7 linked regions of the Rattus norvegicus genome follow. The protein of the gene in region 4 purifies or fractionates together with the protein of the main gene of each other region. This does not show direct contact. Links are inferred from orthologs where the notes say so. Each region holds a gene or a part of one and is shown on either strand. Other genes may lie near its edges.

What was found.
Region 1: the proteins of Parp1 (region 4) and Ctnnb1 purify together in Homo sapiens (affinity purification with mass spectrometry; 4 studies listed by BioGRID, with this or other methods). This does not show direct contact. The link is inferred for Rattus norvegicus from reciprocal best matches to the Homo sapiens genes PARP1 and CTNNB1.
Region 2: the proteins of Parp1 (region 4) and Wwp2 purify together in Homo sapiens (affinity purification with western blotting; 3 studies listed by BioGRID, with this or other methods). This does not show direct contact. The link is inferred for Rattus norvegicus from reciprocal best matches to the Homo sapiens genes PARP1 and WWP2.
Region 3: the proteins of Parp1 (region 4) and Rpa1 purify together in Homo sapiens (affinity purification with mass spectrometry; 3 studies listed by BioGRID, with this or other methods). This does not show direct contact. The link is inferred for Rattus norvegicus from reciprocal best matches to the Homo sapiens genes PARP1 and RPA1.
Region 5: the proteins of Parp1 (region 4) and Chd4 purify together in Homo sapiens (affinity purification with mass spectrometry; 4 studies listed by BioGRID and IntAct, with this or other methods). This does not show direct contact. The link is inferred for Rattus norvegicus from reciprocal best matches to the Homo sapiens genes PARP1 and CHD4.
Region 6: the proteins of Parp1 (region 4) and Rnf146 purify together in Homo sapiens (affinity purification with mass spectrometry; 4 studies listed by BioGRID and IntAct, counting the BioPlex papers as one, with this or other methods). This does not show direct contact. The link is inferred for Rattus norvegicus from reciprocal best matches to the Homo sapiens genes PARP1 and RNF146.
Region 7: the proteins of Parp1 (region 4) and Top2b purify together in Homo sapiens (affinity purification with western blotting; 3 studies listed by BioGRID and IntAct, with this or other methods). This does not show direct contact. The link is inferred for Rattus norvegicus from reciprocal best matches to the Homo sapiens genes PARP1 and TOP2B.

What each region holds. Positions count from the first base shown.
Region 1 is NC_086026.1:129,516,162-129,520,375, reverse strand, and holds the start of Ctnnb1 (catenin beta-1), read right to left. Parts: upstream 2,801-4,214; 5' UTR 2,659-2,800; intron 2,464-2,658; exon of another isoform or gene 2,335-2,463; intron 1-2,334. UniProt on the Homo sapiens protein: Key downstream component of the canonical Wnt signaling pathway.
Region 2 is NC_086037.1:52,255,176-52,259,362, reverse strand, and holds the start of Wwp2 (NEDD4-like E3 ubiquitin-protein ligase WWP2), read right to left. Parts: upstream 2,801-4,187; 5' UTR 2,736-2,800; intron 1-2,735. UniProt on the Homo sapiens protein: E3 ubiquitin-protein ligase which accepts ubiquitin from an E2 ubiquitin-conjugating enzyme in the form of a thioester and then directly transfers the ubiquitin to targeted substrates.
Region 3 is NC_086028.1:60,695,480-60,699,530, forward strand, and holds the start of Rpa1 (replication protein A 70 kDa DNA-binding subunit), read right to left. Parts: upstream 2,801-4,051; 5' UTR 2,708-2,800; coding exon 2,675-2,707; intron 1-2,674. UniProt on the Homo sapiens protein: As part of the heterotrimeric replication protein A complex (RPA/RP-A), binds and stabilizes single-stranded DNA intermediates that form during DNA replication or upon DNA stress.
Region 4 is NC_086031.1:94,859,984-94,863,483, reverse strand, and holds part of Parp1 (poly [ADP-ribose] polymerase 1), read right to left. Parts: intron 1,775-3,500; coding exon 1,646-1,774; intron 183-1,645; coding exon 99-182; intron 1-98. UniProt on the Homo sapiens protein: Poly-ADP-ribosyltransferase that mediates poly-ADP-ribosylation of proteins and plays a key role in DNA repair.
Region 5 is NC_086022.1:159,591,318-159,594,817, forward strand, and holds part of Chd4 (chromodomain-helicase-DNA-binding protein 4), read left to right. Parts: coding exon 1-65; intron 66-199; coding exon 200-439; intron 440-1,057; exon of another isoform or gene 1,058-2,460; coding exon 2,461-2,664; exon of another isoform or gene 2,665-2,766; coding exon 2,767-2,972; exon of another isoform or gene 2,973-3,470; coding exon 3,471-3,500. UniProt on the Homo sapiens protein: ATP-dependent chromatin-remodeling factor that binds and distorts nucleosomal DNA. Acts as a component of the histone deacetylase NuRD complex which participates in the remodeling of chromatin.
Region 6 is NC_086019.1:30,292,628-30,296,573, reverse strand, and holds the start of Rnf146 (E3 ubiquitin-protein ligase RNF146), read right to left. Parts: upstream 2,801-3,946; 5' UTR 2,758-2,800; intron 1-2,757. UniProt on the Homo sapiens protein: E3 ubiquitin-protein ligase that specifically binds poly-ADP-ribosylated (PARsylated) proteins and mediates their ubiquitination and subsequent degradation. May regulate many important biological processes, such as cell survival and DNA damage response.
Region 7 is NC_086033.1:11,539,665-11,543,923, reverse strand, and holds the start of Top2b (DNA topoisomerase 2-beta), read left to right. Parts: upstream 1-1,459; 5' UTR 1,460-1,960; coding exon 1,961-2,008; intron 2,009-4,259. UniProt on the Homo sapiens protein: Key decatenating enzyme that alters DNA topology by binding to two double-stranded DNA molecules, generating a double-stranded break in one of the strands, passing the intact strand through the broken strand, and religating the broken strand.

The sequences.
Region 1 (4,214 bases), on a different chromosome or scaffold from region 4:
GGTTCCCAGCCAAGGGAAGCCCGGTCTTGCAATGAATACATACATAGGCAGCTTTCTTAGGTAACAAGAAATGAAGACCTTTTTCCGGAGCGTAAAGAAGTTCTGATCCACTTCCAATTGACATAAATCACTTTCCATTTTGTAAAACCTGTTAGCTGATCTAGGAATCACACCGTGAATGGTGTTACTGAACAGAAGCATCTCATGGCTGACCATGTCTCAGGACAGAGGCTGCCTCCACAGGCCTCAGAACTGAGGCAGCTGCTCAGCTATTTTCTCTCTATGCATAAAGATGTCTTCAGTGAGATTGTTTTAAATAGCAAACAAGTTGACAGGAGCCACAAAACAAACAAAAAGTGGAGTTAAAACGTATGTACGTTTGTAACGAGTTTGTGAATACTTGTTTACCAGGAGTTTATCCCGCAGGTATGTTTCTGACCAAGCCAGTGACCAAGGACACTAAAAATTTACCACTAGGTGATGGGCAGAGACCTTGACCTCACCTCAGCACTAGCATTTCATCTGACTCCATCTACTTTCACTGTCCACTTCCTGCTTAAAAGTATGGCAGCAGACTATGGTAGGCCCACCACTGCACCCCCACCTGCAGTGTGCACAGGCCTCTTGGCCATGCTCTGCTCTGCATTTATTTGCAAAAGGGCTCCACCAGTTTTTCTGAGCACACATTTCAAAATACTAAGAAAGTTGTCTTCTCATCCCCACCCCACCCCGCCAATGGCATTCTGAAACTAGTGCTAAAGCTTCATTCCCAATCTAGTCCCATCGTCACTACAGCAGGAGACACTTCCCCTCGAGTTGTAGACATCTGATACCCAATATTCAGTCTCTAAACTAATGTTCTCAATCTGGGGGTCCAACAACCCTTTCACAGGGGTCACCTAAGACCACAGAAAACATAGACATTTGCATTATGGTTCTTAACAGTAGCAAGTTATGGAGCAGCAAGCACGTAATTTTGGGGTTGGGGTTACTGTAACAATTGAGAAGCTGTTAATGGGTCGCAGCATCAGGAAGGCTGAGAACCGCTGCTCTAGACTATCTACTAGAAATGACCAGATGACAGGTGAACTCTATTTCTTGGACTTGAGGTTGGTCTTCTTGCAGACCGTGAGGCCCAGGACTCTGTCCCAGGCAAGCTAAGCTTCCCAGATAGCCTGCTTCCTCAAGGACTTCAGCCTGGGAGGGTTAGTTGTAGAGAAAGATCTACAAGTTTCCAACTTCCCTGCCACCGCTAAAGGCCTTGTCCAGACTCGGCCTTCAGGACAAAGGTTAGGTCACAGAATGACTATCCCCAGCACTGTCATCAATGTTTTCTGCTGAGAAAGGACGTCCTCAAACAAACCTTGAGGTACTTCTTTTTAATTGGGGGATTTCTGAATGTTTAAGGTGAAAATGAACTAAATGTAACAGAAGACCTTAACTCAAGTAAAGTTTGAGCCCGACATACAAAATCGAAATGCAAAGGCTACAAGTTTAAGCAGCATTAAATCAGAACCAAGAGGGCAAGCTCTTTCCCGGGACGAGGAGTCTGCACCGAGACGTCTGCAAGCCTCAAGTAAATAGAGAAATGGCTTCCTAAATCCCAGACAAAATGCTTCACAACTTGGCCATGTGAAAAACATGAGGCAGACTTTATCAAAGGCAACGCTGCCGTCTCTTCAGCTTGCTGTCTGGTCTAAGCCACCATTATTCATGGCACAAAGCTCTCGTTTCACTAAAACCACTCCTCGATTTCCTCTCGCCGACCTCCGCATACCAGCAGCCCAGTCGCTCTCCATTCAGAGCTCAGGCCCGGGGGCGGGGGGGGTGCGGGGGGCGCGGGGGAGGGGAGCCCACAGATGTCTGGAGACCCGAGCCCGAGACAAAGCTGCCCCGCAGCCAGCGGGCTCACGGGAGCGGGCCTGGGGCACCGAACTTGGAGCGTCGGTTCCAAGTCCGGTCCCCCAAACAACACTCAGAACAAGTCTCCAGGCTCCCACGCCCTGGCGGTCAGCGCTCTGGCCACTCCATCTCGCCCAGAAAGCAAACGCGCCGGGGAGAAACACTTGAGGCGGACCCCACACTTACTGGCTAAGGGCAAGTCCCCCTCCCCCAAACTCAGGCTTCGGGTCCCGCGCACACCCTCCCCCCAGGAGTGGCCGGTGACTCGTCCACGGTCCCGAATTCCCGCCAGCACCTCTCGGCCCCACAGCCACCGACCCCACGCGAGTCCAGGACGCCACCACCCTCCGAGAACACGCTCCCGACGCATCCCGCACGCCGCATCCAAGTTTGGCGACTCCACGGTTTAAAGTTGTTTGGATTCAAACTCACAGTCAGATCGTTGCAGGGGGGGAAAAAAAGACCTATCTGTGCGTGCTCCACGAGGGACAGAGGGGACGCGTGCCAGGTCCCGCGTCCCCCGGCTCTGCGGGCCACGGAGGAGGGGCCCCCGCCCACCCCGCCCCCGCCGCGGCCCCAGCCGGGACACGAACCGCGGTCCCCACCCCCCACGGCGGCCACCCGTCCATCCGGGCTCCCGGCGCGCGCCCGCCCGGCCCCGGCCCCAGCCCGCGCGTCCCCGCGGCCTCCCGCCGCCACCCGGCCCGCGAAGTTTCCCGCTGGCGCGGCGCGAGTCGGCCCGCCGCCGCGCCGTACCTTGGGGCCGCGCGCTACTCCCTCGCGGCCGCCCGCTCGGCCTCGGCCTCCTGCACTGACGGCTCGGCTCCCACCGTGCTCCGTCTCCGCCTCCCCGGGCCGCGGGCTGCACAGAACACTAGCTGACGCGGCCGCCACCGAGCGAGGGCTTAAGATGGCGCCGCACAAGGAGCGATTTATAAGCGGCGCGGCACCGTGTATCCTGCCGCCGCCGCTCCGCGCGGAGCGTTCCGCCGCGCGAGGACGAGGGGCGGGGCGCGGGCGGGCCGCGGAAAGTAGTCCCCGCCGGCCCGAGTCGCTCTGCGCGTGCGCCGCCGGGAGGGGCCGGGCCGGGGCGTGGCGTCCCGACCCCGCTCCAGTGGAAACTAATGGGATCGAGTGCGGTCCGTCGCTGCGGGCCGGGTGGAGCGCGGCCACTGTTGGCGCAGGTTCGAGACTGTAGTCACCGGGGCTTCGGCCGCCACACCCCTAAACCACCACTGGACCCCACTACACTTCACTGTTCGCGGGAGTGTCCCGCTCCTCTTCCTGCCGTGCCTCTAGAATCCGGACAGGGATCTCGGAGCCCAGCCACCTTTCCTCCCCACCCCAGGAGGCCATGGAGTCCCCAGGAGTGACTGCTGACATCTAACTAGAATAAATGATTCAGCTCCACGGCCCTGTTCATCAGTGTGATTCCTAGAAATCCCATCTTACCCGGACCCACTGGGTCAGTGTCTACAGAACCAGAAGTGGGGACGTTTTCCAGGGACTGCAATTTTTACTGTATTGTTTGAGAAACTCGAGTGTGTTGCTGAGAGGACCTGTGGATAACCTCTTAAAATTTTCAAAACTAATTTAGTATCCTTCGAGAGCATTATTTTTTTTCTGAATCATTACAATAGGCTGAAGTTGGGTCTTCTCTTGGAAATGGCCTCATTGTTGTCCTCCACGATTTGGCACTTGTCAAAACTGGTGCAGTTGGGGTGAATTGGCTGTCTCCAGTCTATTATTGTGAGCTCGTGTCTCTTCCCAAACAATGGTAACAGCGAAAGTTGCCCTATTGCCTTCTTTCATCCTGCGCTGTAATTAACGCAAGTAAACAATAGGCCCTTATGTACAGGTACTGGCAGGAAGCCTGCGCAACCACTGAGGCAGGGCCAGGGCTGTACGGCCAGCTTCTTTTTTAAATGACTCAATTTCCTATCTTAAAGACATATCGCCGTAACTCTGTGAACCACCACAGTCCACCATGAAGGAGCTGCTCAGTGAGGGCCTTTGTCTAGACCTTTCCCCTCTGCAGCTCTGCTGGGATTTCCACAGAATCAACTCTGCTGCTGGCTGGGGCTCACTTGGCTGACTCGGGGAGATGGGTCAGGAAAAGGTATTTTACCAGTGGTGGTTGCAGCCACCAATCCCTAATTTTAATTGTCACATGCAGAGTTAAAGAATATTTGCTCGACTCGATTAAGGTCCTGCTTTTAAAATTAGATAGCTGACTTCACCTCTGTCAGGGGTGTCCTTTCTTTCCTTCCTTCTTTCCTTCTTTCTTTCTTTCTCTTTCTTTTCTTATCTTT
Region 2 (4,187 bases), on a different chromosome or scaffold from region 4:
AGCCTCAGTTTCTTCATCCTCGAATGAAGCAATGCAACCTTCATAGAGCTGGCATTGAATGAGACACTGGGCCAGGCGCAATGGTGAGTGAAGGCCTGGACCCTAACTCTTGAAAGGGAGAGACAAGAGAATCTATCCTAAGTTCCTCGGCAACATAACCAGTTTGAGGCCAGCCTGAGCTATAACTTACCTTCTATCAAAAAGCCAAAAAAATCACAGTTTGACCCTGTCTCAAAAGAGAGAAAGGGGGGGTTGGGGATTTAGTTCAGTGGTAGAGCGCTTGCCTAGCAAGTGCAAGACCCTGGGTTCGGTCCCCAGCTCCGAAAAAAAGAAAAGGGGAAAAAAAAAAAGAGAAAGGAAGGAAGGAAGGAAGGGAGGGAGAGAGGGAGGGGAAGGGGAGGGGAGGTTGGTTGAGCACAGTTAATAGTACAGTTTTAATTTCAGCACTTGGGAGGCAGAAGCAGGTGGATCTTCATGAGTTCTAGGCCAGCCAGGTCTACACAGTAAAACTTTGTCTCAAATAAATAACCAAAAAAATAAAATTAAATTAAATTAAATGAGAATCTGGTATCAGTTCTTTGCAGATGGAGACATAGTCATTAAGTGAAAGACTAATATGGCCTGAGTGGTACAGGCCTCAAATCCCAACTACTGTGGAGACGAAGGCAAAAGGATCACAAGATCAAGGCTTGCCTGAGCTACGGGAATTTGAAATCACACCAGACAACTTACTGAGATCCTGTCTCAAAAGGAAAAAATAAAAATTACAAAAAAGAAGGGCTATGGAGCTCAGTGGTAAGGTACAATGTTCAACAAAAACCAAAAAAAAAAAAAAAAAAAAAAAAAAAAAAAGTAAAAGAGACAGACAAGCCAATTGAAGCCTTTTCCTCATGGTTTTCCCATAGACCAATAACACTGAACAGAGAAAGTGACAGAAAACTTATGTTCAAACCCTTTGTTCACTACATACAGCAAGCAGTGTGACCTTTAAAACCTCATTTATTTCTCAAACACTGACCAAGTACTCCTAACACAGAGCTAGTAGCCAAAGAAGTCATGTAATATTGGATCACAGCCCTTGAATGATTTACAGTCCTAGCAGGAAGAAGACAATAAACAAGGAAGAAAAACAAAATGAAGTGTCAGGTTGGGACTAACGAGATACAGGTAAGAGCACCTATAGCTCTTCCACAGGACCAAAGTTCAGTTCCCAGCATGCAAACCCAGAGGCTCACAACCACCTATATCCCTAGCTCCAAGGGACCCAACGCTCTCATCTGGCCTCAGTGAGCTCATACACACAGGAACACACACACACAAACAAAATTACATTTTTTTTTTTTTTTGGTTCTTTTTTTCGGAGCTGGGGACCGAACCCAGGGCCTTGCGCTTCCTAGGTAAGCGCTCTACCACTGAGCTAAATTCCCAGCCCCAAAATTACATCTTTTATTTTAAGTCAACTCTCTCAGTTTGTTATCTATGAAGTGGGAATGACTTCTCGAGACTGCTACAAAAATTAACTTTTAAATGCTTGTAATATATCCCCAAGTCTTCAACCCCTAATGTATTAATGTTTTTCCCCCCAGCGACCTTTGATTCTGGTTCTTGTCACTGTACCATTTGAACCCTGACACCTTCGTTGCACTCATAAACTTCATTTCACTTCTGCAAACCTTAGCAAATGTGAAGGGGAAAGAGGATGTTTGTTTATTCAGGTCTTACTGGTTAGCCCAGGCTGGCCTGGAACTTGAGGCCATCTTCAGGACTCAGCCTAGAGGACTAAGAATCTTAAGATGGGTATTTTAGCCTCAAAAACTAAGATCTAGGTCACAGTTCTAAGGAACACAACAGAAACTTCTCAGTCACCCCACCTAGTCACAGCTGGTCAAGATAAGCAGTCACACAGTAAAGGAAGCTGCATAATTTAAGCTTTAGAGGAAACGTATCAAAGCGATATGGGAAGACTTTCAACGGTCCAAGACTTCAGCAGTCAATGCATTGCTGCGGTAACGCTGGTCCATGTCGCTGCTGACAACAGTGTAGGTTAAAAGTCTTGTTATGATCACAGCAAAGCACCTACACGTCTTTAATTTTTTTTTTTTTATTTTTGCCTCGAAGATGACCCGATCTGGGAGCATCTCAAAGAAAGATGATAGGAAGGGCTAAGCTCCCAACAAGTGGAAACCCTACCCAAACAGGGCAAAGTGGGTGTGACCAGAGTCAGACTACCAAGACTCAGGGATCCCTCCTGAAGTTTAAAAACTAAACAGGACCGGTATCAAAGTCTCGGGTCGCCATCATCTTCAAAGAGGACGGAAGGAAGAGACTCTCAGAATGGGGTCCAGGCCGCAACGTCCAGATTTTTCTTCCAGTCTCTACTAGCCAGACGCCCACTCCCAGGCAGCCCCTTCCGGGGAGCATGCGAGTCTCCCCGGCCGAAGTCGGCCCCCCTTCACAGACGCGGCTCCTCCACACCGCAGGCGCCCAGGCTGGGGTCCCCTTCCGGAAACGCCAGCAACGGGCGACTCCCGCCGGGCCCCGCGCCCACCCCGCCCGGGCGCGAGTCGGGACACCCCTCCTCGGAGGCCGGAACCGCGCGCCAGGCCCCTCCCACAGGAAGCCGCCGCCCCCCGGCGCCCGCCCCGCGCCGCCCCCGGCCCCTCGCGCCGCCCGCCGCCCCTGGCTGTCCCGCGCCACCCGCTCGCTGCCGAGCCCCCAGTGCCCGCGCAACCTACCTGCCGCGGCCACACCAGCGGCGCCTAACTCCGCTCCACTTCCGCCTTCCAGCGCCCGCACTCAGACCGGGTCACGTGGGCGCGCGCGGTCACCTGACCCGGAAGAGGCTGGCCGGGGCGCGCAGGTGCGGACCACCTAGAGCCGGGCTGTGAGCATTTGACCCGGTGAGGGCCGGAGTGAAAGGACCACCAGGGCTATGCTGGAGCGGGCGTATAAAATGAGGGTTCACCGGTACCAGGGGCTTTATTTATTCCTTTGGAAGCAGGTAGAATTGTTTTTTCCCCATAGTACAGGTGGGAGAAGATCATCCGGTCAGTTAAGTCGGCAAATCTTGTAGGGGTTGCTGGATAAAAACCAGTACGCTCCTTACATTTGAATGTCAGATAAACCGTGTCACTATAAGCATGTCCCCAAATTTGCAAAGAATGTATTGACACCATAGATGTACGCTGGTCAAAACCTTAAGCATCTCGTGTAATTTTGACAGCCGGTGCCAACTATGTGCAAGGCCTTGTTCTCAGTTCTGGAAGTATAAATACCCTGGCCTTTGTAAGTTATCTGCTATTGTTCCAAAAAACAAAACTGGGAAGGGGGATGGGAGTGGGGCACGGGACAGGACACAGACGACATGACATCCCTTCAAAACTTTTCTCGAGTCCATAAGTGCCCCCATGGGGAATCAACTCCCATTATCTCCGTATATGCAGTAAACTGAACCTTATGAATTAGCAAACAGGGAGTCTATGTAACCCTGGCTGACCTGGAACCCAATGCTGTCCTTGGCCTCCTAATTCCTGGCATTGTAGGCGTACCTCACCACAGCCTGGACAGCAGAAACTTTCTGGGTTTTGCAAGATTGACAGTCGAATCTAACTGTCTGCACAGAACTAGTCAAGGGCGTTAAAACTGACCTGTGTTCCCAGCCATTTTGCTAACTTTCTGGTTTTTCTTTGGAACGGTCTTGTTTCAAGTGCTCCAACTAACCTCGAACTTTTAATTCCATTACCTCAACCTCTGAGTAGTTAGGATTACCAGCTTATACCATTGGGGCGGGAGGCGGGGGTGAGAGAGGAGACCAGTGGAGGCAGAGTTTGTAACCTAGGCTGGCATTCACCTCCCAGTTGATTGTTCAGCTTACAGATAGGTGCCATACCACCTGGCTTTTTGTTGGGTTTGGTTTTGTTAACTGAAATATTAAATTTTTTTTTCTTTTCTTTTCTTTTTTTTTTTTTTTCGGAGCTGGGGACCGAACCCAGGGCCTTGCGCTTGCTAGGCAAGCGCTCTACCACTGAGCTAAATCCCCAACCCCCATATTAAATTTTTATTACATTTTATTCTATAGATGTTTCGCTGGCATGTATACTGTGTACCAGCTGAGTGTCAGGAGCCTTTGCTGAGGCGTATCTACCAAAAGGAAGTCTTTATTAGCCACTCTGTGACGACACTAGGTG
Region 3 (4,051 bases), on a different chromosome or scaffold from region 4:
CCATATACATAAAACACATAAGTGAATTTCTTCATGTGTACGAGGAGCTGGTAGTGGTGCTTCCCTTTAATGCCAGCACTCCAGAGGCAGAGGCAGGTTGATCTGCGTTCCAGGCTAGCCTAGTCTACAAGGGGAGTTCCAGGACAGCTGGGGCTACACAGAGAAACCCTGTCTGCCATGGGCACCTTGCCCCATCTTTGCACCTTAACATATTTGACTGTAAAATCTGATGTTTATAAAAAATAAGAACTGACATCAGAAGTCAAGAATATTAATTTCCTTGTCTTTTTCTTTTGATAGCTGAATTATGTAAGATAAACAGGATGGGATAGCCAGAGATATAGTTTAGCGGTAGAGTGCTTGCCTAGCATACACATCTGTGGTGCTGGGTTTGATCTCAAACTCCTGGGAACAGCCAGTAATTAGAGCCTTGTACTTCTACTTATCACAACAGTTACAGTTTAAAACTTTGGGTCTTTCATTTTCCACTGTTTGTCTAACCATAGGGGCCTGAAGCTTTTGTGCTGACACTTTTGTTATCTAATCATCAGGTAACCAGGGGTCTCTACACTCCATCACCAACAACACATGTAAAACAAAACAATACACTATGGATCCCTGCATGGTGGAACATCGTTAGCGGGAGGCAAAGGCAGGTGGATCTCTTGAGTTCAACACCATGCTGGTCTACATAGCAAGTTCCAGGACAGCTAGGATAGTCTTTAAAAAAAAAAAAAAAAAAAAAGAAAAAACAAAACAAAAACCCCCATTTTATTTATGAACAAAACATGTAAAGAAAGGAAGGAAAAAAAAAAAAAACCCTCAGCTTTATCTACTTCAACCAATGTTGGAAATAGCTTTCTTTCTAAAAATAAATAAATAAATAAAAATATATAATATATACACACACATATATTTTAAAGAAAACTCAGCACATTATTCAAATAACCCTATAAACATTCTTTATAAAGGAATTATTTGTAGTTGTCTTACGGTGGCAGCTATGTTAATCAGGACAATTCAGGCATCACATCCCAAGTTTCAGCATTTCTACAGCCCTACCCTACTCAAATATCCTTTGATTCTGACAAGTGTTTCCCTCTTTCTTCTTCTAAGCCGGTTCTTTTCTCCCTTCTACTTCTGTCCCCTGCTTTCCATTGCTTTACTCACTCATACAACTAGCAAACACTATTTGGGTGCCTAACACTTGCTAGATATTAGGGATCTCACCTAAAGGGACTGAAAGCAGCTGCAGGGCTCAGTCTTTACAATCTCCCACAGGAGATACAAAGTAGCTAATATTTACCAAATAAACAATTACATCTGTGATTACCAGCTGCACTAGCAGCTACTGAACACAAAATTTAGGACCTCAGTCCTCCACCTAGCCCCCTTGCTCGGCTTTAACCTCATTTTTCAGACAAGGGAAAAAGTTTGGAATGTTGCCCAAAGCCATACCTAAGTGAACAAAAAGGAGTTGTCTCAAAATGTGTGGTTCACCAACCAACTCAGTAACACCTGAGCTGAAACAGGAACGCTGGTAGCAAAATAAATTGAAACAAGGATCAATGGCCTCTAGAGCAAGAATACATTTTGTTTTAGAAGATTAACAAGGCCTGGCAAGGAGACTGTGGGAAGAGAGTGTACTGACTGAAACTGACTAGTTCAGGCAACAAATGACTATTCCAGTGTGGATGGAAAGTTAAGTGTGGAGTTAAAATATACTTCAATTGGTGACCGACTAGGCATCCAGAGTCAGGCACAATGATACTGTGGGTAAAGGTGCCTGCTGTGTAAGCCCAGCTACCTGAGTTCAATCCACAGAATACACAGAAAAGTGGGGAGAGAAGCAACTTCCCAAAGTTGTCCTCTGGCATCCAACACATATGCACCATCCCCACCACGGCATGCATACGTACTCAAGTATACATAATACATACACACATACACATTATTTTTAAAATACAGCCTTAGGGTTTGCTCTGATATATGTTCAACTGAAAATGACTGAGGATAGAGGGCAGATCGAAGGCAGCTCTGCAGGAAGAAATTATGAGACACAGACATGCAGGTGAGGGACTGACTATAAGCTAGTCTTCAGAGGGCCTTGGGTCAACAAAAATTCAGAGAAGTTTGCAAGTGAGACAAGGAAAGAGCAGTCAACGTGAATCACAGAACTCAAGCAAGAGAGGAGTGTTAGCAGAAAGAAGCAGCAGCCAACAAGCCCAAACAATTAGGTCGGCTAAATTGTCTTCCGATTTGGCTACTGGGAGGCCACTGGTGACTTCGGCCAGCGTTTTCTCTCGTGACTAGAGAAATGCCTAGTAGCAGTGAAGAGTTACGAGGAGGTAAAGAAGTCAAACAGCCGAAAACAAACAAGTCCAGAAAAGTTTGGAGGTGACGGAGAAAGGGAGGAAAAGGAGGCCACCGATGGTAGACAGAGGCATGTTTATTTGTCTTGTTTTCTTAGGTAGAAAAAAAGTAAGCTCGTCTGCTAGGATCAGGATGCCTCCTGCGGAAGTCTTTAGAGACCCGGGGCGGCATCCCCTGCGGTCGCATAATTTCCTCCCTGATGCTCTCCCGATCAACAGCGGCTCCCTCCCCCTGTCCTCTTTGCATCACTCCAAACCCGCACTGCTAGGGCCATCGACCCCACTCCTGAATGTCTCCTTACCGCAATGGCCCCCTCGCTCAGGTGTCCCACCATGGCTGCACCGCTAACTCCCGCGCTCGCGCTCCTGCACCGCCCCAGCTTCTTTGCCGGGGTCCCGCGGGCTGCTCAACGATTGGCTAAAGGAACTGTGCGTGCAGCTCCGCCCCCAACGTGCGCGCGGTGCGAGGGGCGGGCCTAGATGCCGACAGCCACCTCATTGGCTACCGCGCGGCGGGCGGAGCACGTGACCCGCCCGAGGCCGGGTTCGAGGCCTAGTGGCGGGATGGCGGGACCTGAGGGCGGGGCAATGTTTCGCGGTACGCCTGTGTCTGCGCGTTGTCCCTGAGTTGGTCCCAAGCCAGCTGTCGGAAGTTTGCATGCCTATTCGTTTGGCGGATACACAGAATAGCAACCCAGTGGACAGTCGGATTTCTTCCCTGGTAACTGCTGCTAAATATAGTCAAAGCAGTGACCTCGATCCTTCATTCACGCAGTGCGTGCCCGGCGTCCGTGCCAGGCCCAGAGCTTGGCACTGTGGGATAAACAAGGTAAATCAGACTCAATCTCCGCCCTTAGAAGATCGTAGTTCCACCTGAGATTTGTGGCAGCGTGGAGCCCAGCCTCATGGTTGGTACACGCGATATGGGCCACACATGTGGTGGAGTTCCAGAGTGAGGGTAAAAAAAAAAAAGTCAATGAGGCTTTGAGAGGAGATGCGGATTGAACTGAGTTAAGTATGTGTGGAAATTTGTCAGGTGGATCCCAGTGAGGGTAATAATGTTCCTAAAAGCCTATGGCCTATGTAAAACTACTGGAGAGCCTGGCTTGCTGGCTCTCGTCTGTAATCCCAGCCTTTCGGAGTGGAGGCAGCAGAAGTTCAAGGTCATCCTCAACAAGACCGTTGAGTTCCAGGTCAGCCTGGACTAAATGAGACCCTGAAAAATAAAAATTTGGGGGGTTGGGGATTTAGCTCAGTGGTAGAGCGCTTGCCTAGCAACCGCAAGGCCCTGGGTTCGGTCCCCAGCTCCGAAAAAAAAAAACAAAAACAAAAATTTGGGAGCCTGTCGTGGTGGTACTCAAGAGGTAAAAGCAGGCAGATCTCTGAGTTCGAAACCAGGAAGATGATGATGATGATGATGATGATGATGATGATGATGATGATGATGAGTTCGAAACCAGGAAGAAGATGATGATGGTGATGATGATGATGATGAGTTCGAAACCAGGAAGATGATGATGATGATGATGATGATGATGACGACGACGACGACGACGACGACGACGACGACAACAGCAGCAATAATAGTGAAGAGAGACTATAAACTGAAAGAAAGACCTGGAAATGGAAACAGAAAACTGAACAATCTTAAGAAATGAAAATATGTATCTTCATAGTTG
Region 4 (3,500 bases):
TTTAGTACTGTCTGTCACTCTTCCCACACAGTAGATGTTGCTACTGTTTCTTACTAGAAGAGAAGCTAACGGCTGGAGGACCGGAGGTACTTGCTTACCTGCTGGACCTCACTGAGGATAGAGTAGGCGGCCTGGATCTGCCTTCTGCTCAGTTTCCCCAAGGGCATCTTCTGAAGGTCAATCTGAGGAGACAGGGAACCTAAATGCATTCTGCATTGTGGTGACGCACCACTGTTCCCTCACAGGAGCAGTGGCCTGCTTGCACAGAAGGTGTCACCCTCTTACCCCACCCTGTATGCTGTGTAACACAAGCCCAATGCATACAGCTCAGCACTTCTGAAGGAAGACCCAACATAACTCCTACAATCCCACAGGACCGAGGTGATGGACTAAACCTCCCACTGTACTCTAGGGCAAGGAACAGAGGGTGTGTGTGTGTGTGTGTGTGTGTGTGTGTGTGTTCTTATGACCTTTGCTGCCATCCAGTTCAGAAACAAGAGCCTCAAAGTTCTAATGAATGTTATTTTTCAAAAATACACATGAGCCTTTCAAATCAGCCACCCTAAAGGCTACGCACACTTAACACCACTGTGACTAACCACACTACTTCAGGATCCACTGTTAATCAGGGTACTGGGCTGTGAAGGCAGAGATCATTGTGTTACAGTGATGAAGAGCGGACAGATCCACACTTGTAAACTGGACCAACTGTTCTCAAGTGACATCTACTCCCTCCTGTAAGTGAGCCGGCCTGCACTGTCTCTCAGTGCTTGAGGAGACACACCTGTGTGCCAGTACATTACTGCCCTAAGACTGCAGCACTGGGCACATCCACCAGAGCTGCCTGATTTGCAGAGCAGCCTGTAGCTTATGGACTCGTGGCCAGAGAATAGGAGGCTGTGTGGCTGGCCCAAGTACACAGGTCGCCTCCTTGCTAGGAAGATTACAGGTGAAGTGAGAAAGCCTATTCTTGACAGCCTGTTGTCCATGCCATGTAGGCCCACTTGGGAGCAACGTGGTTCCAACTGGCATCATCTCACCCCACGTGTGTGAGATGAGCAAGACCTCTTAACACAGCTGCACCCAGCCCCAGGGTTTAAGAGAGCTGACTGGAGTTTGGCTGATTGACTGGAGCATGGATCAAGACAGTAGTGGTCACAGGAGTTTTCTTTACAGTTTAATTTTTTTATTATTTTATGTCTATGACTTCTTTGCTACTTATATGCCTGTATCACTTGGGTACCAGTGCCTGTGGAAGCCAAAAGAGGGATTCTCTTGGAGCTGACGTTACAGAGCTATGGCTCTTATCTACTGAGCAGTCTCTCCAGCCCAGTTTTCTTTGTCTACAAGTGAGTGGAGGTTGGGACTTCCACTGGCATCAGCTAGCTGGTCTGTCAGCGTCGCAAAGAAAGAACCAGACCTACCTAACACAGAAATCAAAATGGCAACAGGCAATAGGGGCCCGGGGCCCAGGAGAGTCCTCTACAGTCCACCACGCATCCCACCACAGGGTTAAGGGGGCAAGCGGGCGCTGAGCTGGGTGGACATTTGTGGCCACTTGAGTTTTAGAAAGGGAAAGTAACACAGTTGAACTCGCCAGGCTCAGTGCAAAAAAACGAGCAGAGAGCATGGCCTCAATACGCACCTCGTACTCCACCAAGGCCTTCTTCATGCTCTCCACGTCGAAGATCATCCCGACGAGCTCCTGCACCGGCTTCGGCAGCTTCGACTTAGTGCCAGGCTTCACCGCCAGCTTCTTTACTGCCTCTTCGTCCTTCAGGGAAGTGGGGAACCAGAAAGAGGACAAGGAACATGGGTTAGGTACAGCTAATGAGGACACAGGATAGAATACTGCCACCAAAAAAAGTCAAACTCTCCAGACAATGGCGGCCACAGGGCACAGGCCCATGCATTCCCCCATGCCCTCCTGACTGCTTCAGGTTCACATCCCAGCTGTTCTGACGATGTCTGTCTGCCTGCCTGTCTGTCTCTGGTATGCTGGTACCCCGCAGAAGCTGCCCGGTGCACATCCATACTCATTTTAGAAGGGAAGGCTGCTGTGAAAATGAAGCTCAGGTCATCGCAGGAGCTTGTTAGACAAAGTCTTCCCTTTGCCTGCAGCTGCTTGTCCGGGGCTGCTGCAGGACCCCGCTTACGTGTTCTCTACAGAACCACCCTGAGGCTTGGTCTCATGCTCTGCCAGCCAGCTCAACAAAAACATGGCACATCTCAGCATCCGCCATCCCTGCTCTGCCTCTACACAGCACTCTTCACCTATGAGACAGTGAGATTGTACTCCTGTCTTCCCAAGACTCTGGTTAAGATCGACTGCTTTGTGATTGCCTCACCTCAAGTTTCATACCTGAGGTCTGAGGAGGCAGGTGCTGTGCTGTGGACCTGGATTCTCCTTGGGTTCAGCTGCAGTCACCTGTGCTGCCCAGTGCTGCCACCATTCCCAGTAGACCTACTCTGTGTACAGAGCTTTAGAGGTGCTTTTCTGTCCTGTGGGTATGGCCCCACTGGAGGGCAAATGGATCTATATGCTGTAGGAAGCCATATTAAGTAGATATTTCTTATGACCCAGTGACTCCATCTCTCAGAAATGAACCTGAGAGGTACTCAGGTCTGTGTGCTCACCCGAATCACCACAACAGGTACCTGAAGAGAATCTAAATGTCTAGCTGAGGGGGAAGGACTTGCTGTTTTCATCAACTGTGATTTCTGGCCCACCACAAGATGGAATTCTATGTAATCTGAAGAAATGATGCTTTAACTGTGCAGGGTGGTTTAAATTATTAAGATTAGCTTCATGATTTCTGCTTTTAAAATGCCAAACTACTTCTGTCTCACATTGTGGCTCCATGGAGAGTGGTGTCTTTGGAGAGTGTATGGCGTGGTCCTGACCGTGAAGAAATGGGTGAGCACCACATGCACTGCAGGATTAATGCAGGATTCCAGTATTATGATGAGAAGTGGCTCCAAAGGTGAGACAGCCAGGCGCAGACATGTGCTGGGACAGTTATGGCTAATCCCGGGCAAGGAGGGTACTACCCTGTCTGCCTCTAAGTGCAAATATCACCTAAGAGGTAACCGAATCCTGCCTCATAGCACACAGAGACTTTCAGGATAGGCACAGTCTACTCGGGGGCAGAGCACACCAACCATCCTGACCCTACATCACTTCACTTCAGTGGTGACGCATGGATTCCAATGAAATCTTCTACAAGCAACTTCAGAAACCACCTTTCCTTGGTGCCCCAATATCTACTACCAGTGGACCTGACAACACTTGCGACTGCACACACCTGTAATCCTAGTGCCCAGGAGGCTGAGGAAGATGTGAGTTCAAACCCAGCCTGAGCTCCCTCCACTCCTTTCTTACTCATTCGATGCTTTATGGTATACATTTTACAAAATGTTTTCTGTGGCTCCCACACGCTCATGTGACGTCTACCCCTCACTCACAGGGCACACTGAAATGTCAACAACCTCAAACTTGT
Region 5 (3,500 bases), on a different chromosome or scaffold from region 4:
ATATGGTGTGCCTGGACCCAGACATGGAGAAGGCCCCCGAGGGCAAGTGGAGCTGCCCACACTGTGTGAGTGCCTGGCTACTGTGGCCTCTGGGTCCCCCTAAGGGCAAAGGTGGGAATAAAAATGGGAGTGTCCTTGGCTGTCTGACTGGGGGTGGGGTGGGGTGGTAATAATCTGAATCTCTGGTTTTTTATTTCAGGAGAAGGAGGGTATCCAGTGGGAAGCTAAGGAGGACAATTCTGAGGGTGAAGAGATTCTGGAAGAAGTTGGGGGAGACCCAGAAGAGGAAGATGACCACCATATGGAATTCTGTCGAGTCTGCAAGGATGGCGGGGAACTACTATGCTGTGACACCTGCCCTTCTTCCTACCATATCCACTGTCTGAACCCCCCGCTGCCAGAGATCCCAAATGGCGAATGGCTCTGTCCCCGCTGTACTGTAAGTGACTCTTCACTGAGGGTGGGAGAGGGGAGCAGTGCCATTTACTAGCACAAGGGTCTGCTCTCTGGTAGGCATTATGAGGCCTAGGTTGGGGAGAGGTCTTTGGAGACATAGAGATTTTCTAGCTGAGACAGGAGAAAGTGCTTAGTCTTGGGCCATCATCTGCCGCGTAAATGCGGTTAACTGAAGAGAAGAACGGTCTCCTCTTAAGCAGGTGAAGCAGTAGAGTCGTAGTCATTCTGTCATTCTGATTGCTGCTGCGATTTTTGGTGTTTTGAACTGATGTCCAGGCTATCCTTAAACTCACTCTATGTATGTAGCTCAGGCTGGCCTTGAGTTTACGGTGATCCTCTTGTCTTGGTGTCCTGCGTGATTAAAGGCAGGAGTATCACACATGATCTTGTCTTTAAAAACTTGTAATTTGGGGGTTGGAGAGATGGCTCAGTGGTTAAGAACAGTTCTGTTTTTGTGTTTGATGTTACAAGACAGAGCCTTTCTGTGAGTCCCAGACTGTCCTGGAACTCGCTATGTATGTAGACCAGGCTGGCCTTGAACGCAGGAAGATCCGCCTGCCTGCTGCACTAAGGATGTCCCCTTCCCATTAGGCCTGTGCTCTTCTTTTTTTTTTTTTTTTTTCCTTTTTCTTTTTTTCGGAGCTGGGGACCGAACCCAGGGCCTTGCACTTCCTAGGCAAGCGCTCTACCACTGAGCTAAATCCCCAACCCCGGCCTGTGCTCTTCTTTAGTTGTCTTGTGTTACTTTTATGTTCTCTGTACATATGTGGTTTTGCTTTATGATCTCCATTTTTATCAGCTTTCCTGTAAAGGAAAGCAGCTCCTTTATTCTTTATATCTGAAAAATTGTATTAAGACACCATGTTTTCTTCATTCTTTTGTTGATGTACACCTAGGTTGGTCCTGTAACTTAGCTCTTACACACAAATGCTGCAACAAACTCATTTGCAGCCCAGGCTGGCCTTGAACTCACTGTTGTACCTCATGTTCCCAAGAATGAGGAGCAAAGCTGAGGTTACCATGCCCAGCTTCACTTGAGCCTGGGTGTCTCACCTTAGCTCTCGGTAGCCATGGCTGCCCCAGAGCCAGCTTACTGCATTCAGCTTGCTCAAGAGAGGGAAGGGTTCAAGTCTCTCTCTCTGTGAATTGTGTGTGCCTAGCTATTCTGGTTTATTGTATAGCTTGCTTCTTGACTCTTTCTAGCTCTGTGACAATATCCAAAGAGGAGAGAAAGTTCTAGTGGTTTTTGCCTAGGGATGATTGTGAGGGTAGATTTTATTTGAGGTGAAGTATTTTATTTATTTTGTTTTCTGGAACTCACTTTGTAGTTTTTCCATCAGAGGCAGGGCAAGCAGTTCTTGGTGAGTGTAAGGTCAGTCTGGTCTATATATTGAATTCCAGGCCAGCCAGGGCTATTAGAGTGAGACTTACCTGAAAAGAAAAAAAGTTCATTCGCGAGTATTGTATGTGTACATGTGTGTTCAGGGCTCCAGGCCTTGGTGTTGGGCCAGACAGCAGCAGTGTTGTACTCCGATACCCACCGTATCACCCTGGACAGATTCTCACTACACCTGGAGCTTAGCTGGCTGGCAGCCAGCAGCAAGCTCTAGTGATCCTTTAGTCTCCCTTCCCATGGCAGTAGGCCGTGTGTGTGTGTGTGTGTGTGTGTGTGTGTGTGTGTGTGTGTGTGTGTGTGTATGTGTGTGTGTGTGTGTGTGTGTGTGTGTGTGTGTGTGTGTGTGTGTGTGTGTGTGTGTATGCGCGCGCGCGCGCATTGGATCCCCTGGAACAATAATTCTTAGCTACAGTGGATGCCAGGTATCTAGTCTGGTTCCTTTGGGAGACCAGCCCTCTCTTCAGATGCTGGCCATTTGACCTCCTGCTGTCGTGTTTGCAGCAAGTGCTCTAACCACCTACCCATAGACACTGATATTTATTGTTCCTGGAGAGTTTTATGCATAGCCCTGTGGTTTGAGTTGAGATTAAGTGGTTTCTATTTAACAGTGTCCAGCTCTTAAGGGCAAAGTGCAGAAGATCCTAATTTGGAAGTGGGGCCAGCCACCATCTCCTACACCAGTGCCTCGGCCTCCAGATGCTGATCCTAATACTCCATCTCCCAAACCCTTGGAGGGGCGGCCAGAGAGGCAGTTCTTTGTGAAATGGCAAGGCATGTCTTACTGGCACTGCTCCTGGGTGTCAGAATTGCAGGTAAGCCTGGGACAAGTTGCATGTATGAGGTGACAGTGCAGAGGTAAGAGCAGGAGGCCGGATGCAGCTCCAGGGTGGCCGCCTTTCTCTTTCTGCTCCCAGTTGGAGCTGCACTGTCAGGTGATGTTCAGAAACTACCAGCGGAAGAATGATATGGATGAGCCGCCTTCTGGGGACTTCGGTGGAGATGAGGAGAAGAGCCGAAAGCGAAAGAACAAGGACCCTAAGTTTGCAGAGATGGAGGAGCGCTTCTATCGCTATGGAATAAAACCGGAGTGGATGATGATCCACCGGATCCTCAACCACAGGTATCCCATGGCTCCCTGGAGGCCATTGACCTACCAGACAGTGTTTCTAAAGGGGCTAAGAGGGGCTGGAGAGATGGCTCAGCGGTTAAGAGCACCCGACTGCTCTTCCAGAGGTCATGAGTTCAATTCCCAGCAACCACATGGTGGCTCACAACCATCTGTAAAGAGATCTGATGCCCTCTTCTGGTGTATCTGAAGACAGCTACAGTGTACTTATATATAATAAATAAATAAATCTTTAAAAAAAAAAATAAAGGGGCTAAGAGAATGGACCTTGCTGTTGACTTACATTCAAGAAACATTCCTCTGAGTACGGCCCACAGGGAGAGTACAGAGTAGAGAGAGTATTGGGTCAAAGATAGGCATCCTTGAGACTGAGTCTATGTGGAGCCTGGCGCATTTGGAATGGTTTTGTTGGTTTTTAAGAGCAAGGCTGACTAGAGAGGTGAGAGAAGTTGCTTTCTGGTTCTGAGGAGTTTTTCTTTATTGACATCATAGTGTGGACAAGAAGGGCCACGTTCACTATTT
Region 6 (3,946 bases), on a different chromosome or scaffold from region 4:
ACAGACTGAATAAATTCCTACTAAAATCTTACCAGTCTTTTTGCATAAAAAGAAAAGCTAGTCCTTAAATTCACATCAAATTAGCTCAAAGAATCTTTAAAAATAAGAGCAAAGTTCAACGTTGCCACATCCCAACACTACAGAACAATACTAAGATACTGTGGTATGGAATTATAAGATAAATACATCAATAAAATACAATTATGAATCACGAAAACAGATGGCTCAGCAGTTAAGAGCACTTACTGTTTCTTGCAGCGGTCCCTGGTTTGGGGGCGGGGAGCAGTCTCAGCACCCACACAACAGCTCACATCAACCTATACTGTCAGTTATATGAAATCTAATGCCCTCTTTTGGCCTCCATAGGCTGTTATATGTATGTGATATACATAAACTTATATAAGCACATTCACATAAAATACGTAAATAAATCTTTTCAACAAATGCATAAACATATTACATAGCCAAATGATCTTTGGGAAAGTGTATCAAGCCCATTCAATAGAAAAAGAGTATGTCTCAACACTGAGACAACCCGATTTAGACATGCAACCAAGTCAAGCCACACTTCACACAATATATAAAAATTAATCAAAGCAGATCAATGACCTAATTATCATAATCCAATCCTTAAAATGTTAGAAGCCAATAGAACGCAAATTCTTTAAGCATTGGAACACGTAACACCATTGGGACACATAACACCAATAGTATAGAGAACAAAGGAATATATAAATTTGACCTTATCAAAATGTAAAGAAAAAATTGACAACTTATAGAAATGGAGATTTTTGAAAATAAAGACTTAATTTTCAGACTACTTAATTCCTACACCTCAATGGAAAAAACAAAAATAAATAAGAAACAGGCTTGATAACTCATTCTTTATAAGAAAATGATCAATGAACACATGAAAAGGTATTCAGTCTTAGTCATTAGGAAAATGTAACTCAGACCTACAGCAAAGTAAAAATACATGTGGCTAAGGATGCAGTAAAGTTAGACCTTTAGTGAGTGCTAGTATAAGTGTAATATGATGTCACTCATGTGGATCTATAATTACTATACACCCCAGCAATTCTACTGCTAGATCTATATAAAACAAAAGAATACTAGGACTCAGACTTTCATACGCCAAAGTCAATAACAGAATTACAGTCAAAAGATGAACACGCATGTCTCTTTGCAGATGAATGGATAGAGAAAACACAGTATTGCAGTATTCAGAACAAAAGAATGAAGTTTGTCCACTATAAATGTAACACGGAAACATGTTGCTAAAGTCAAATGAACCAGACATAAAGGGAAAAATACTGTATTTAGTCCTGAATGAATGGAGAACTTCAGAGATCAACTTAAGGGTCATCAGAGACCAAAATGAAGAGCGAACAGGGAGCTCCTGCCTCAAAAGTACATAGTTTCTGTCCGGAATATGAAATATTTCCAGAAATACATAGTAAGGATGGCTTCCAACACTGTCAATAAAATTAGCTCTACTGAGTGTACACTTAAAAATAATTAAAGAGTATCTCTTGTTTCTTACAATTTTACTACAAAACATGTTTTGAGTAAAATAATCAAGTTCTGTATGAACCCAGTCAAAGCAGCAACAAAATGTCAGTAGCCCATTCTTAATACTGAGTCAGCATCACTGCCTTCCTACACAGGTGCCATTAGCACATTAACTCATGGGTGCTGTTATTTATTTTACTACCTTTATGGCAACTTTTACTCAAGCTACCTCCTGTCCAGAAAATCAAAAACACCACCCGCCCTTTAGCTGTTGTCATATAGTATTCCTTCCTGTGGGTTGCCTACTTCAAGAGGCACATCATTCCACGTAGAACCTGCGTAACATCCTGCACATGATCACTAAAGAATTGGCCAACCACATAGTAAGTAAATCTAAGAGAGGAGAGACATGGATCCTGTTTCATTCAGTTCCTTAAGTCTCTCAGGGCTGGCAATTATCTTTTTAACCTAAGATTCTGATAGTTAAAAGTAAATGTAGCACTTATGACCTCTGAATAGAAGCCTGCTTTCCCCACCAATGTGTAAGAGAACAATGAATCTGTTTCAAGGCCAAAGAATTTTCTATGTAACTGGCTAAACAGCATTTCTACTAAATGTGTTTCAGTTTATTCTGGCTTTAGATAACATGGCTGCCACTATTCTATTCTTCCTACCAGCTTTTATACTCTGCCTTTGTGGTGTGTAAAAGTTTAGTGATACCACACAGGAATATCAATGCATATCCCTCCCACAGCCTACTCAAAACAGACACTGCTCATTTTCTCACAATGCCATCTGCAGATCAGAGAGAGCCATTCTATCGTACCAATTTGGCTTTCTTTGAGACTCTACCACTGGCTGTGCTTAACTTCACCATTTCACTACATATCATCCTCTTCATGCTATCTGCTGACAGCCCCACAAACCAACTTAACTGTCCTTGAGAACGAACAGCCCAGCTTCTCAGATGTCCTTAAATCATGCTCCAATATCCATTTATTAGAAACAAGTACATAGCTTCTTAAAAGTATGCATTTTGGGGCCCTCCCACTGCAGATTCTAGGCTGAAATGAGTCTAAAAAACATAAAACTGCCCTTTATTTTCAACTTCTGAACTCCCAAATTCAAATCACTTTACTTCCTCTCAGCAATAAAGTGCCACTTGGCACTGTCATCTAAAACAAGTCACAATCGCATTCTCAGACCACAAGCGCTGGCCCTTCTCATCAGTTCGCATTCCCACACCTGTTCTTTAGTTATGGAGACCTCTGGCCACTTCCTCATCTTCTTTCCTTTATACAGTTCCTGATGTCATTTCCTTTCCTGACCAATCTAGAATCATCTGAAAGTTCTTCCCTAACAAAACCCCTGTTTTCATCTCTGTGTGGTTATATGAACCCCTACCTCTGCTGAATTTTGCAATGTGCCACTTCAGTTTCCATGCCTTAGCCACTTACTGGTCAGAGACATAGAGATACTATTACTACCTTCTCTAGCCCTCCATATTGTCACACTAAATCCTGTCATTTTGTATACTGAACAGTCTGGGAATTTCCTATGTACTATTATGTAACCAGCCTTAAATACACTGAAAGAAATGGATCATGGTCCTCCTAAACTCGAAGCCAAATTTTAGTTTTCCAGTCTATTCAATAAAGGCAAACTCCTTAGGAAAACAAAGGCTTTAGGTCTCTGAACTCTAAATAAAGAAGTCCCTCTTATTTATCCTTGGCAACCAGCCTTCCACATTAATACCAAAGTTACACCAAAGTACTCAATGCTCCAAAGAGCTCCTGATAAGTCTGTGTATCCTCCTACCTTTAAAAGTCTTCCTCTTTCACAGCTTATAAAATGCCCGATGATGTTTACTGCACTACACAGAAATAGTCACCCAAACTACTTCTCTTGTATTTTATGTATTTTTCTATTATAGAACTTAACATGAATATTGGCATTAATTTATGCCCTGACTTTTTTCACAGAACCATGAGAACACGACAGATGTTATATCTTCAAATGGTTAGTAAACTGCCAATTAATTTGTGTTGATTTCAACTGATTTGTTTAAATATTACAATACTTAAGTCACATAAAATACCTGAGTTTCCTCAAGAAGAAGGTACTTTTCTGGAAATTGCCAAATACATAAAGTTAGAGAATTCTTTAAAGAACCTATGATATAACTAAGCATTCCAGCCTCAGTTATAGAATCTGTCATCTATCTTTTAGCAAGCACAAAATTCACCTGGCTAATGACTACTTAAGGAGTGTCCAGAATGCAGATACAATTCCAAGAATAGATAACTAGATGGTAAGATTCTTGCCTGTAAAATTTGGTCACGTATTTCTTATAAAAAACTTTAGCAAATCATTGCTTAGAAGTAGGAAAGGTGCCCTTTTCCTCCCATTGAAATACAGAGAAAAACAAATACCA
Region 7 (4,259 bases), on a different chromosome or scaffold from region 4:
CTATTTGAGTACTTAGGGATGTAAAGTCACAGTACATAAAAAGTCCCCAGGTAAGAAGGCCCAAAGTTGAACTTGGGAAAGCTGGTAACAAGGCCATGGTGCTCTGTAGTCAGAGTCCAGCCCAGTTTTAGGTCCTGATTAGTGATTTACAAGCTAGAACACCAAATTCAAAATAAAGAAAGGCTTTGGTGTTTAGTCAGAATACCCAAATAAAACTGAAAATTCATGGTCTCCAGAGGGCTAATTAAGAACTACGTTTAAATTATTTTCATGTTTCAGAGCTGCCCACCTTGGTTTCAGAATGCTGCAGTTGAAAGGTATGACCCCAGGCATTTTTGTTTTCCCTTAAGGGAAGTCCTTAGCCGCCAGAGAGACTCACAGAAACACTTTCACAGAAAGCTGTTAGCTCCAACGGGATAAAGTTCTTCAGCGTCCTCTGTTAGTCACTCTTGGAAGATTGACATCTGAGGCTGTTGTCCCTTTAAACCCATTGCCACGCCTGGCAGAGAATGGCGGGGAGTATACCCAAAAAGGACTTGTTGAATGTAATTCCATTTACAGGCTGGGTGAAGTCAAGAGCTCTTCCGTCTGCCAAAGGCTTTGGTGTGGCACATTTTATTCTTAGAAAGCTTCCTCACGAGAAAAGTCTATCCTTAATGTGTACCTGAAAACCACTCTTGAAGTTCAAAAAACGATATATGTGCCCTCTTAGACGTGGTGGTGCTGGTGCAGTCCTTGACAGGTGAGAACCGACAGGGACCCTTCTGCACTGTTGGGAGGAAAGCTCAGTAGCCCGGGAAGGGAGCCCTGACCTGCTCGCGTTCCTTCCCAGGAACGTTCCCTGGGCAATGTTTAAGTTCCCTAAGTGGTGACACTGAAGACTGCCTGCAGCGTTTGGGGGGCGGGCAGATGAAGGACAAGGAGTCTGGCGGACGCTCTGCGCAGCAGCAACCTGGGACCTGAGGTGGGGTAGGGGATCCGGCTGCTCCTAACGGCAAACGGTCCCATCTGCAGTTCACTCCCCGGCCCAGTCTCTGGGGACGCCTAAGGCTTCCTGCCTCCCTGCCCCCACCCTCCCCCTCCTCTCCAGCCTCCCCGACTTCCCGGCAGGTCTGCAAGACCACTGCCCGGAGGTTTCCACAGCCCTCGTCCCAGGACTCCCGGCTCCTTTGGATGCCCGGGAATGACCCATGACAGCCGCCCGCTCTCCCTTTGGACGGAAACCCCATTCACTCTGCCTCTCTCTTACACACACACACACTCTCACACACAAACAAAAAACCCAAGTCTGCCTCTCGGTTGCTACCCGCAATGACGTTTTCCCCTCGGATCCCGCCCCTCTGGGGGCCTGAAATTTTGGGATTGGTCGAAGGACTGTAGCGACAAGACCGTGATTGGACGGTCCATGGCTGACTGACAGCCGGTGGCCGCCGCACCCTCCCCCTCTCCGAGCGCGCCTGTGTGTGCGGTGTTATGCCGGACTAAAGGGAGGCCACCACAGCGGCTGTTTATTGTCCCTCTCGGCCAGTGCTCCTAAGGACCCGGTCAGACACCGCTTGAGCGGCTTTAAGGCAGTGGCGGCCTTTGAGGCGGCGGCGACCGCGTCGAGGACTCTGCGGATTCGGTTGCGTGAGGAGAAGCAGTGACTCCTTCGTGTCAGGGCTCTGACTCGCGTCTCCTAGCCGGCCCGCGCCGGCCCGCGCCGACCCTCGCCCCTCATTCGCGATCCCGATCGCCTGCGTGAGCCCCGGAAGACCGCGTCTCACTGCTAGCCCTTCCTCGCCCTCGGCCGCGCTCTAGGCCCGGGCGCCGCGCTCGAGTTTGAGGGCGGCGGGCGGCGCGGCCTCCTCAGCGGCTCGGGCCCGCGATGGGGCGCGGCTAGGAGTGCGGCGCGCAGCGGTCAGTGCGAGCCGCGTCCCCGGTGCGCGAGCAGCCCCTGGCCTGCACGGGAGGCGCTGCCATGGCCAAGTCCAGCCTCGCGGGCGTTGACGGGGCGCTGACCTGGGTGGTGAGTGCTGCGCGGGCGGACGCATTGTTCGTGGGCCGCGGGCTGTGCGGGCGGGGGCTGAGAGCGCGGCGCGGCGGGCGCCCTGTCGGGCTGCAGGCAGGGCCTATCCCTGAGTGCCTTTTTCTCTCTGCTTTCCGCCTCTACGAGGTTCAGGCTGCGGAAGAATGCTCACCTGAAACTTCAGGGTGTACACCAGGACGTAGGGGACCGCGATAACGCGAGCCTCCACGAGCGCAGCGCCAGAAAATATTGCAGAACTTATGCCAAATGCAACCGCTTCCGGCGGCCTGTCCCAAAGGAACGTGAACTTGAATGGCCACTGCGGTTTGCGCCTCCCCTTTAAAGGCTCATTCCGCAGAGAGGGTATTTGGGATGACTTTGACAGCAGGTTAGAGACCGCAGCTGGTCCATCTGCCCGCGGGATTAAAGGGAAGAGCTTACTTACGTCAGCCTCCCGGGTACATCGCGTGGGGACTCAGGGGTTTCCCCAGGAGGTGAGGGAGGGGGTGCTTAAGCCGGAACTTGGAGGATCGCAGAGCCTAGTTCCCAGTGGGAAGTGGAAGTAGCGAGGCAGCAGGAGCAATTGGAGCAGGGTTCCCACGACAGATCGATAACTCCAGCACTTCACTTACTCCGCACTGAGTTCAGACCAGGGTCATTTCCCATGCAAAACATCAGACTTAGCAGATGAGACCAGCAGCTAGGACAGAAAATTTACACATTTCAGGGACTTTAACACACCCCTTCCAGAGGATCCCAAATCCCTCGCCTCTGAACACGCTAAGGAAGTTGGTATTGCTTGGCATTTTTGTTCCTTGGTTTCTTTGTTCGGTTGAGGTTTAGATGAGTCTGGATTAACAGTCATTTCTTATAAAAAGGATGTTTTTATAAACAGCAGGAAAACTGTTTAACCATTTGCAGGGCCGTGGCAAGATACTTTGCAGTGTAACTTGCCAGGTTCTTATCTTCGAATCTCCAGAAATAAGTAGTTCTTTCTAGGCAGTGCAGTAGGAGAGCGTGGAGAAGAAAAGTTAGATAGTAAGTTAGTGCGCGTGTGTCCTTGGAAAGAATGATTGAAATGGCTGACCCTTACCTGGTACTAAAACTAAACGTCTGAAGATGGACTGCGATCATATGCCAGTGTCACTGGTGATTGTGGAAGCACTGACATCCGAGCTGCTGCCTTCTGGTGTGTAGGGTACATGCAGACAAAGCACTCATACACATAAATAAGTCTTAAAAAGAAAGCAGTTGCTATCGTGGAACCAAGTCACAGACAAGCTGCTCAGATGTCAGTGCCACCATATTTGTGCTGGGAGTTGAACTCAGGACCTTTAGAAGAGCAGTGAATGCTCTTAACCACTGAGCTATCTCTCTAGTTCCCCTCTCAGCCCTTTTGTTTTTACATTATTATTTTATGCGTATGGGTGTTTTGCCTGCTCGTATGTCTGTGCACCACTTGAGCGCCTGGTGCCTAGACCAGGCCAGAAGAGGGCATCTATACCTTGGAACTGCAGCCACCCAGATCCTCTGGAAGTGAAGCTAGTGCAGCTGGGCCACCTCTCAAATTCTGTCACCATGGCAAACATTTTGTGAGACAGTTGGATTGTTTTTTTTTTTTTTTTTTTTTTTCTTTTTTTCGGAGCGGGGGACCGAACCCAGGGCCTTGCGCTTGCTAGGCAAGCGCTCTACCACTGAGCTAAATCCCCAACCCGGATTGTTTGTTTTTAAGTCATGGTAGCAATGCTTTAATTTAATGGGCACCTTTCCTTTTAAGGTCAATGGAAAACTTTAATTTACATACAAAATGGGGCAAAACTTGTAGAGTTTCATTCCAAATTAGAAAAAAAAATCTATGTGAAACTACAATAGGCACATTAATTTTGCTATGAACTAGATTATGGGAATTACAGTAAAATAAAATATATCTTGTTTGAATTAGGTTATTGAGAAGAAATCCTCTTTCAGGTTTGCTGCTTGCTTTCTGTTCCTAATGCCAGCATCTTCCTGTCTGTAATAAACCTTACAGGTTGCTTGTGCATGTGTTTTTGAGAGAGGAGAGAGTGTATATGTACATTCATCTACCTGGGCTTTGAACTCATGATCCTCCTTCCTTAGCTTTGTGAATGCTGAGATTGGGAGCCAGCACACGGGGCCTGGTTGGTCTTCTTTACTGGAAGATGATAGCATGAGTTGATGTGGGCTTTGGCATAGGTTCATATACCCCCTGCAGTACATAATGCAGGCGAGA